2 linked regions of the Ovis aries genome follow. The protein of the gene in region 2 interacts with the protein of the main gene of each other region in a biochemical or structural test. Links are inferred from orthologs where the notes say so. Each region holds a gene or a part of one and is shown on either strand. Other genes may lie near its edges.

Evidence for each region.
Region 1: the proteins of ELK1 (region 2) and SRF form a complex in vitro, tested with the Homo sapiens proteins (2 studies listed by BioGRID). The link is inferred for Ovis aries from reciprocal best matches to the Homo sapiens genes ELK1 and SRF.

Annotation. Positions count from the first base shown.
Region 1 is NC_056073.1:16,768,017-16,772,400, reverse strand, and holds the start of SRF (serum response factor), read right to left. Parts: upstream 2,900-4,384; 5' UTR 2,513-2,899; coding exon 1,997-2,512; intron 254-1,996; coding exon 1-253. UniProt on the Homo sapiens protein: SRF is a transcription factor that binds to the serum response element (SRE), a short sequence of dyad symmetry located 300 bp to the 5' of the site of transcription initiation of some genes (such as FOS).
Region 2 is NC_056080.1:57,187,871-57,191,350, reverse strand, and holds part of ELK1 (ETS domain-containing protein Elk-1), read right to left. Parts: intron 1,547-3,480; coding exon 1,103-1,546; intron 449-1,102; coding exon 1-448. UniProt on the Homo sapiens protein: Transcription factor that binds to purine-rich DNA sequences. Forms a ternary complex with SRF and the ETS and SRF motifs of the serum response element (SRE) on the promoter region of immediate early genes such as FOS and IER2.

The sequences.
Region 1 (4,384 bases), on a different chromosome or scaffold from region 2:
TGCTGTCGGACTCCGACACCTGGTAGGTGAGGTCTGTCTCTTCAAAGCCGGTGGCACTCATTCTCTGGTCTGTGGTGGGGTCTGAGCGGGGTGGAGAGTCTGGCGAGTTGAGGCAGGTCTGAATCAGTGCCTTGCCAGTCTCACTGGTGATCATGGGCTGCAGTTTGCGGGTGGCAAAGGTATACACATGGCCTGTCTCACTGGCCACCAGCAACAGCACCTGTGTCCCTGTCAGCGTGGACAGCTCATAGGCCTGGGGGTAGGGGGGAGGAGATGGGTAGAACAGCAAAATGTTTAATCGCTACCTTCCTTGGCTAGCAGGAAAGAGGGAAGTACACAGTGATCTCAAGCTCCCACTTCCATAATGACCTTCCTCTCCAGTGACTCTAAGGGGGTCCTGTCTGAAGGATATCTGAAGGTTAGCTGAAGAGTAGAAAAACCCCATGCCCCTCCTTTGAGGAACAGCCCCACTGACCAGCAGATACCCCAAGCAAAGTCACAGCTCCCAGTGACAGAGCATATAACCTCAGCAGACACAGAGTGGCCCAGGGAGCTGCTCCTCACTACAGCTTGGTGCCAGAGCCTCACGAAGAGATGGCTCCCACCACCTCATCACCATCACAGGGACCAGGATGAAGTCACTACTACACTGAGTGTCACATAGATGTCAGGGATAAGGAGCCACCTAAACTCCAAATGTCCCATATTTCTTTCCAGAAACTGCACAGGCACTAACCTGTTGCCATTTTGTCCTGCTCTATAGAACTCTGCTCCCCCTTTTCACTTTCTTTGTCTTGATGAAACAGTGTCTGGAGTGATGGGAGATGGCAGCTAGATTAGCAACTACTACGCTACCATAATACCGACTCGATGGACATGAGTTTGAGCAAGCTCCGGGAGTTGGTGATGGGACAGGGAAGCCTGGTGTGCTTCAGTCCATGGGGTCACAAAGAGTCAGACATTAACTGAGCGATTGAATTGACCCTGCCATAAAGCCAGGAAGGGGCCTTCAAGGATGGCCCCATAGGTGGCATCCTCACTCCCAATAAAGTTCCACAACCCACTGGAAGCAGCCTTGGTTTCTATATGGGATGGATATAAACACCGGCCAATGTTTCCAGAGTTCAAGCTTCTTGTTTCCCAGTTACTCTGCTTCCATTCCTTCCCATATCTCCTATAGGCCAAAGATGACTCCTTTCCTCATTCTTTTCACTGGATAATCAGCTAGAAGAGGAGGCATTGCTAGGTACCTCTGCAAACCTTCTCTCCAAACTCCGTGCACCGATTTTTCCCTAGGGCTGGAAATCCCACTTATCCCAAGGGCAAATGGTTCTGAGGCCTGTCCTGCAGGGAGTGTGCCGGCTTCCAGTAGATGCATGAAGACCCATGGCCATCGCAGGACTTGGTTTCTGATGCTCAGGGTAGCATCCGTTTTCCTGCCCTGCTCCCTTAACTGGGGCTCTTGAGCCCCATTCGGTCATCAGCCCTGCCCGTCCTTCCAACCAACATCACTCTAGCGATGCCCACCTTCCTCCCACACATGTTCGCTCATTGTTGTTACACAGATCTAGCCTCCTCGCCCCCACACCTTCTTATCTGTTCCCTGCTTTTCCGGCGCCTTTCCCGGAACACCAGAGAGCACTGGACCTACTGACCCCCCGGCCTCATTCAGCACCTCCCCGGGAGCCCTGCAGCCTCCCATCACCACTCTTCACTCCTCGGCTCTGCAAGGGCCGAGTTCCTCTCACGCGCCCGTCACTCCCACCTCGGCGCCTTTCCTCTTTTCCGGACAGTCGCGGCATCTCCCCTCTCCCCACATTTCCCTGGCGGCCCCTCCCCTTTCACCCTCCCGGGGCAACAGTCAACCCCTCCCACACACCTCCTGCGGACTCGCCGCCTCTCACCTCCGCCTCAGCTCTGCCTTCCTCCCGGGCTCCCCTTGCGCGTCCCCACCCTCCTGGGCTCCCGCTGGCCGGCCAGCCTCCCAGCCCGGTACCTTCTTCATGATGCCCGTCTTCCTCTTGCTGAAGGTCGTGTAGCGCCGCAGCTTGTTGTCGATGAACTCCATCTTGATCTTCACGCGGCCCCGAGTCTTCTTACCCGGCTTGGCCCCGCTCACCGCTCCGCTCACCGGCCCGTAGCCCCCCGTGGCCGCCGCCGCCGCCTCGGGCCCACCGACCACCACACCGAGCTCCATCTCGCTCAGGCTCCGCTTCAGGCCGCGCCGCTCGGCGCCCAGCTCCTCCTCTTCGCCCGACTCCGAGTCACCCTCGCTGCCGCTGTAGAGGGCCCCCGCGGTGGGCGCCGGGGTGGTTGTCGCTGCTGCTGCAGCCTCCCGCTCAAGGCGGCCCGGCCCAAGCCCCGCGCCGTTCCCGGGGACCCGGCCCCCGTTAGCCCCTCGAGTCCCGCCGCCTCCACCGCCCGGCCGCCCCGTCGGCGTCCGGTTCAGGCTGCCCCCCAGGGCTGAGCCCCGGCCCAGCGCCGCCGCGGCCCCAGCTTGGCTCGGTAACATGGCGCTCAATGCAGGAGGGCGGACGGGCAGTCAGCGAGGAATCGGAGCCGCCGCCGCCGCCGCCATCGGCTTCCCGGCTCAACCCGGTGCTCCCGCTGCTGCTAATATCGCTATCGCTGCCGCCGCTACCGCTGCGAACCCGGGGCCCCTGCACGCCCGGGCCGACCTGGGCCCTCACTTTCCTGCCCCTGTGGCCCGGGTTGCCCCAGGCCGCGCGGAGCGCCCCCTGTCCGTACGCTAGGGCGGCGCGCCCGGCGGCCGTCAGCGTCCCCCGGGGGGCAGGGGCTGCCGGCCGCGGCCGAGACGGCGGGTGGAGGGGGCCGGGACCACGCGCTGGCGGCGAGGGATCCCCCGACCCTTCCCCCCATATAAAGAGATACAATGTTTCCTTTTATGGCGAGGCCGCTCCTTATATGGTGAGCCCCTGCACCCCCGCCCCATTGGTCCGCGGTTCCGGCACCTCCGCTCCCCATTGGCCCACAGGGGGCGCTTATTTGCATAGACATACCGAACTCGCTGCTGTCATCCCGCGTCAGACGGCGACTCCAAAAGGGGAGGAGCCGACGCCTCTTAAAGGAACAGGAGAGGAGGTACGACTCCGCCCCCCTGGCCAGAGAATGGTAGAGAGAGTTGGGAGGAACCTGCAGAAAGCCTGGAAGAGCACTGGAGCGCAGTCTTGCGGAGGATAGGAAGCCGCACTGGGAACTCGGCGCTGCAAGGGCTGGAAGCCAACTCTGGAATAGTCCCTGAGTGGATTGTGCGGATTGCAGTAAATTATATGCAGCCCAAATTCCCAGGGAGTACAGGGATTAGAGCACTTCCCCAAGCCTTCCTGAGGGAGTCAACGTTACTGGCCGAGCAGAGGGGGCTTGGGTCCCCGCTGTCCAGACTTGTTGCGCCGCGCGGCCTCTCGGCTCCACCAATTCCCCTCCCCCCAACCACTTCCTTTCCCTTTCCCTCTCTTTTCAAGGCGACGACACTTTCCCACCAGGACGGCTCCCTTGTCCTCATTCATCATTCTCTATACTGGTTGCGGGGGGCGGGGATCTTTGGCATACGTACATCTGGAAAAGACCCGGGGAGACAGTCGGCCTCCCGGTCGCCAATGGGGGCAGGGAGGAGAGATGAAGATCTGTGAAGACTTCCAGCTGCGGCTGGACTGGGGGAGGGGGTGGTCCCAGGGATAAAGCCCACCCCCAGTCAGTGCAGAGGCCTGGGAAAAAGTGTAGCAGAGCAGAAAGTTTAAGCAAGCAAGTGCACACACGCGCGCCACACACACACACTCACTCCCACCCTTCTCTTAAAAACCAAGTAAAGCCCATAGAAGGGGCGGGGGGCCAGTTCGACTGGAGTGGTGCAAAACCCAGGTTTACAGTCTGGGTCTGGTTCTTAGCTACAAGGCAGTGAAAGTAGCTTGAACTTCACTATTACAGAAATTATTAAAATCTGGAAGCTGCCTCTTCCTAGCCCTGCGCCTGGAAACAAGTGTTTGACCTCTCCAAACTCCACATGACTTCACTGTTGGTACTCATCCCTTGAAGTTCTTAATAAAGATTAGGTGAGATACAGATTAAAGTGCAGTGGTGGTCCAAGTGGTGAGGTAATCACCTTATGTTTAAGGGGATGGGAGAGAGTGATGATTCCCACTTTAAATTACTGTAAAGATTAAATAAAGTAGTCGGTGGTGAATCCAGTGGTAGTGATAGGTATATTTAGTATACTGCAATTTAGTATACTGCAACATGTAAATTATTATTAATTTAATGGGTCTCACAAAAAAAGAGTAAATATTACAGTGTAAAACTTCTCTTTGTATTATTTTTAGTTTGAACAATATAAAGTTGCCATTTTATAGGTCGAGGGTGGGATACT
Region 2 (3,480 bases):
GGGAAGGCGTCAGCGCTGGACCTGGCGCCTGTAGACCTGAACCAGTTCCCGATCCCGGAGTCCGTTCGGGTCCTGGTCCACCCAGCAGGCTCGGGCTGAGTGGAAGCTCCAGGTCCCGGGGCTTCCGGCCCTTCTGAGGCTGGGCAATCTCCGCGCTGGGTGTTGTAGAAGCCGTGAGGCCGCCCACCTGCGCCGCAGTTTCCATTACGACAGCGGACAGCCGGGCTGGCACGCCCTCTGCTGGAGGGACTTCTGGGTCGACTTTGGGCTCAAAGGGCTCGGCCTTGACGGCTTCCAGCACAAACCCCGCCTCCCCACTGGCTGCAGCTTCTAACTCTTCCTTGGGCTCTTCCACTTTGACTTCTGGGGGCAGTGGCCGGCCCAACCCAGGCTCCATGTTTGGCTCTTCGGATTTAAGGTTTGGGGCCTCGGGTGGGGTCAGGATGACCTGGGAGAGGAACGAGTGCAGAAGGGATGCCTAAGGATTCCTGGGGTAGTGAAGCCAGTTATTTCCCATGGAAAGTGGGACCTGAGAATAGGGGCAGGTCCTTTAACAAGATGTGGTACTTTGCCAAGAAAATGGGGCTTCTGGTCCTCTTATCTGGGTTGCCTTCAGGGGTGGGACTCCAGGAAATACTGCCCCCATGTATAAAAGCAGTGGTTCTCAAAAATTTGCTTTATGGACCAGCAGCATACACCTCATCTGGAAATTTGTTAAAAATGTAGACTCTTGGGCCCATCCTCAGACTCACATAAAGAAAAACTCTCGGGGTGTCCCTCAGCACGTCTGTCTTTAAAAGCCCTCTAAGTGCTTTCTGATGAGTGCTAAAAGTGTGAGAGCCAGTGCATTAAGCAAATACATTCAAGGGCACCTACTACATATTGGGTGTACTGCTAATTGTAGTGCACTCAATTTCCTTCTTCCTTCCCAGGGTTTTGAATAGTTTTCCTCCCCATCTCTTTCTCCAAGGGGACTTCTGTGTCTCTCCTTCCATTATATCATCTTTAACAGGACATTATGTCCCTCCTCTTCCCAGTCCCTCTCTTCATTTGGGAACTGTACATCCCTCCTCTTGCTGAAATTCCATATTCCAGTCCTTACCTGCAGAGGCAGGCCAGCCTCCTCAGCTTCCAGGCAGGCCTCCAAGGGGTTTGGACTGGTGCTCCTGCTCCCCGAGGGAGGCACTGCTACTCCTGCAGGGCCGGTGTTGGGGAGCACTGTGGAAGGTCGAGGGTGAGAGGGCGGTTGTGGCTGCAGGGACTGGATGGTGAAGGTGGAATAGAGGCCTGAGCGCATGTAATCATTTCGGCTGCTGCGCGCCAAGCCACCTGGGCCTGCCATTCCTGCACCCTTGAGTGTGCCTGGCTTCCCAGAGGCAGTGTCCCCGGGGATGGCGTGTACAGCTGTGGCGCCTGCATTTGCCAGAGTGGAGGTGACAGACACCTCAGGCTGAGGCGGGCAGTCCTCAGTGGAGCACCCTGCGACCTCAGGGTAGGACACAAACTTGTAGACAAACTTCTGGCCGCTCACTTTGCGGATGATATTCTGGTAAGGGGGAAGAGACAGGATAGAGTGTCTTAGAAGAAAGGGCTAGAGAGAGTGGACGGTGAGGAGTGTCTCCTGGTGTTTTTTTCCCTTCATGCCTCTCCTGTCCTTTTACATATACACTGTCCTTGCTCAGTGTCTGTGTCCCCATAGGGTCCTCTTCCCAGCTTCTTTCACATCTCACTCACCTCTTCATCTGAGGCCTCCTCCCTTCTCCCCTACTTTCTACTACTCTTCCCCAACCCGATTTCCCTGTCTTCTCCTCCAGCTTCTTCCCCTTCTCTGTCTCCCCACTGCATAATCTTTCCTTTAGTCTACTGCCCTTCTCCCTGCCACACCTCAGTCCCATCCATCCCCGTCCAAGTCTCCCTCTGTCATACTCTCATCTTCTGTTAGGTTCCCCCACCCTACCTTAGATACACATGGCCACACCCACTGGCTCCTCTCCACACTGGGACCCAACTAGGGAAGCAGATCTAGGAACAGGCTTTCCTCTTGGCTCCTGGAACCAGGGGTGTCTGTGGGCTAACAGGGCCGGGCCCTGGGGGTGGCTGCCAGGACACAGTTTTGGAGTCTAGCTAATGCAGTAAGACAGGGAAATGAAGTCACTGATATAAATGTTGGAAGAGACTAAATGAATATGGAAGAATATGGTGATGAATTGTTAATAAATATGAATTATTAGAGGATGATTTAAAGCTCTTGACACAGCTGTGAAACAGGGCAAAGTCATCAGGGTGGAGAGGATGAGGAGCCTTATTCTTAATACCACTGGAGAGGTTTAAGCTGAAACAATTGGAAAATGAAGTGACTGATAGCAACTAACAAGAATTTAAAATACTGGTAAAAATACTGTGGGAATCTTAAGGCTGGCTTGGGTGGGTCACAGAGCACGTTTGGGGTATTTCAGGATAGCCCTGGAGGATCTCAGGGATGTTCTAGTGGTTTCAGTGCATAGAGTGAGGCAGACTCATTATGAATAGTGTTCTGGAGGTTTGAGCTAAAGGATTAAAATATAAAAATATAAAAAATATAAATATATTTTAAAAAATGAAATAAATGCTGTAAGCGAGTTAACGGTGGGCAACAGCACCGGTCTAGGGCTGTTCTGAGGGACAAGAGGCATCTGGGGGGCATTAGGGCACCCTGAAGACATCTTCATGTTGGCCACGAATGTCACAGGGTGGGTTTGTGTTTCTCAGAAAAGGAATGAAAAGGGAGACTCATTAATATTGTCTGAGAAGTTTCAGTGTGGGGTGAGAGGAAAGGGAATTGGATGAAGGCAGTCAAAAGGCACAAACTTCCAGTTATAAGAAAAGTAAGTACTAGGGATATAATGTACAACATGATAAATGATTCACACTGCTGTATGTTATATATGAAAGTTAAGAGTGTAAAGAATTTTTTTCCTTTTTATTTTGTATCTGTATGAGCTGGTGGATGTTTATTTAACTTATTGTGATAATTATTTCTTGATGTATACAAGTCAACTCTTTATGCTGTACACCTTAAACTTATACAGTAATGTGTGTCAATCATACTGCAGTAAAACTGGAAGAAGAAAAACATTGTTTTGGAAGTTTCAGGTAAAGAAATAAGAAAATGAAATAACTGGTATAAATGTGAGGGGGGATATCTAGCACTGGTTTGGCAGTCTGAGAGGAAAAGATAAGCAAAATTTATAATTTTAGCTACAGGAATAAGATGATAAAATAAAACAACTGATATAAATATTGGAGAGGACTGGTGTTGCTCTGGGAATACAAGAGGATGGGGTGTGGAGCGGGCATTATACACGTTGTTTTGGAGGTCTTAGCTAACGAAATCAAATATGAAAAGAATTGATAAAAATGTTGAGGGCCTTGGAGGATGAGATAAGCAAAGGTTAGGATAATGCTATCATGGAGACTTTGATTCTAAGAATAAGGCTATTC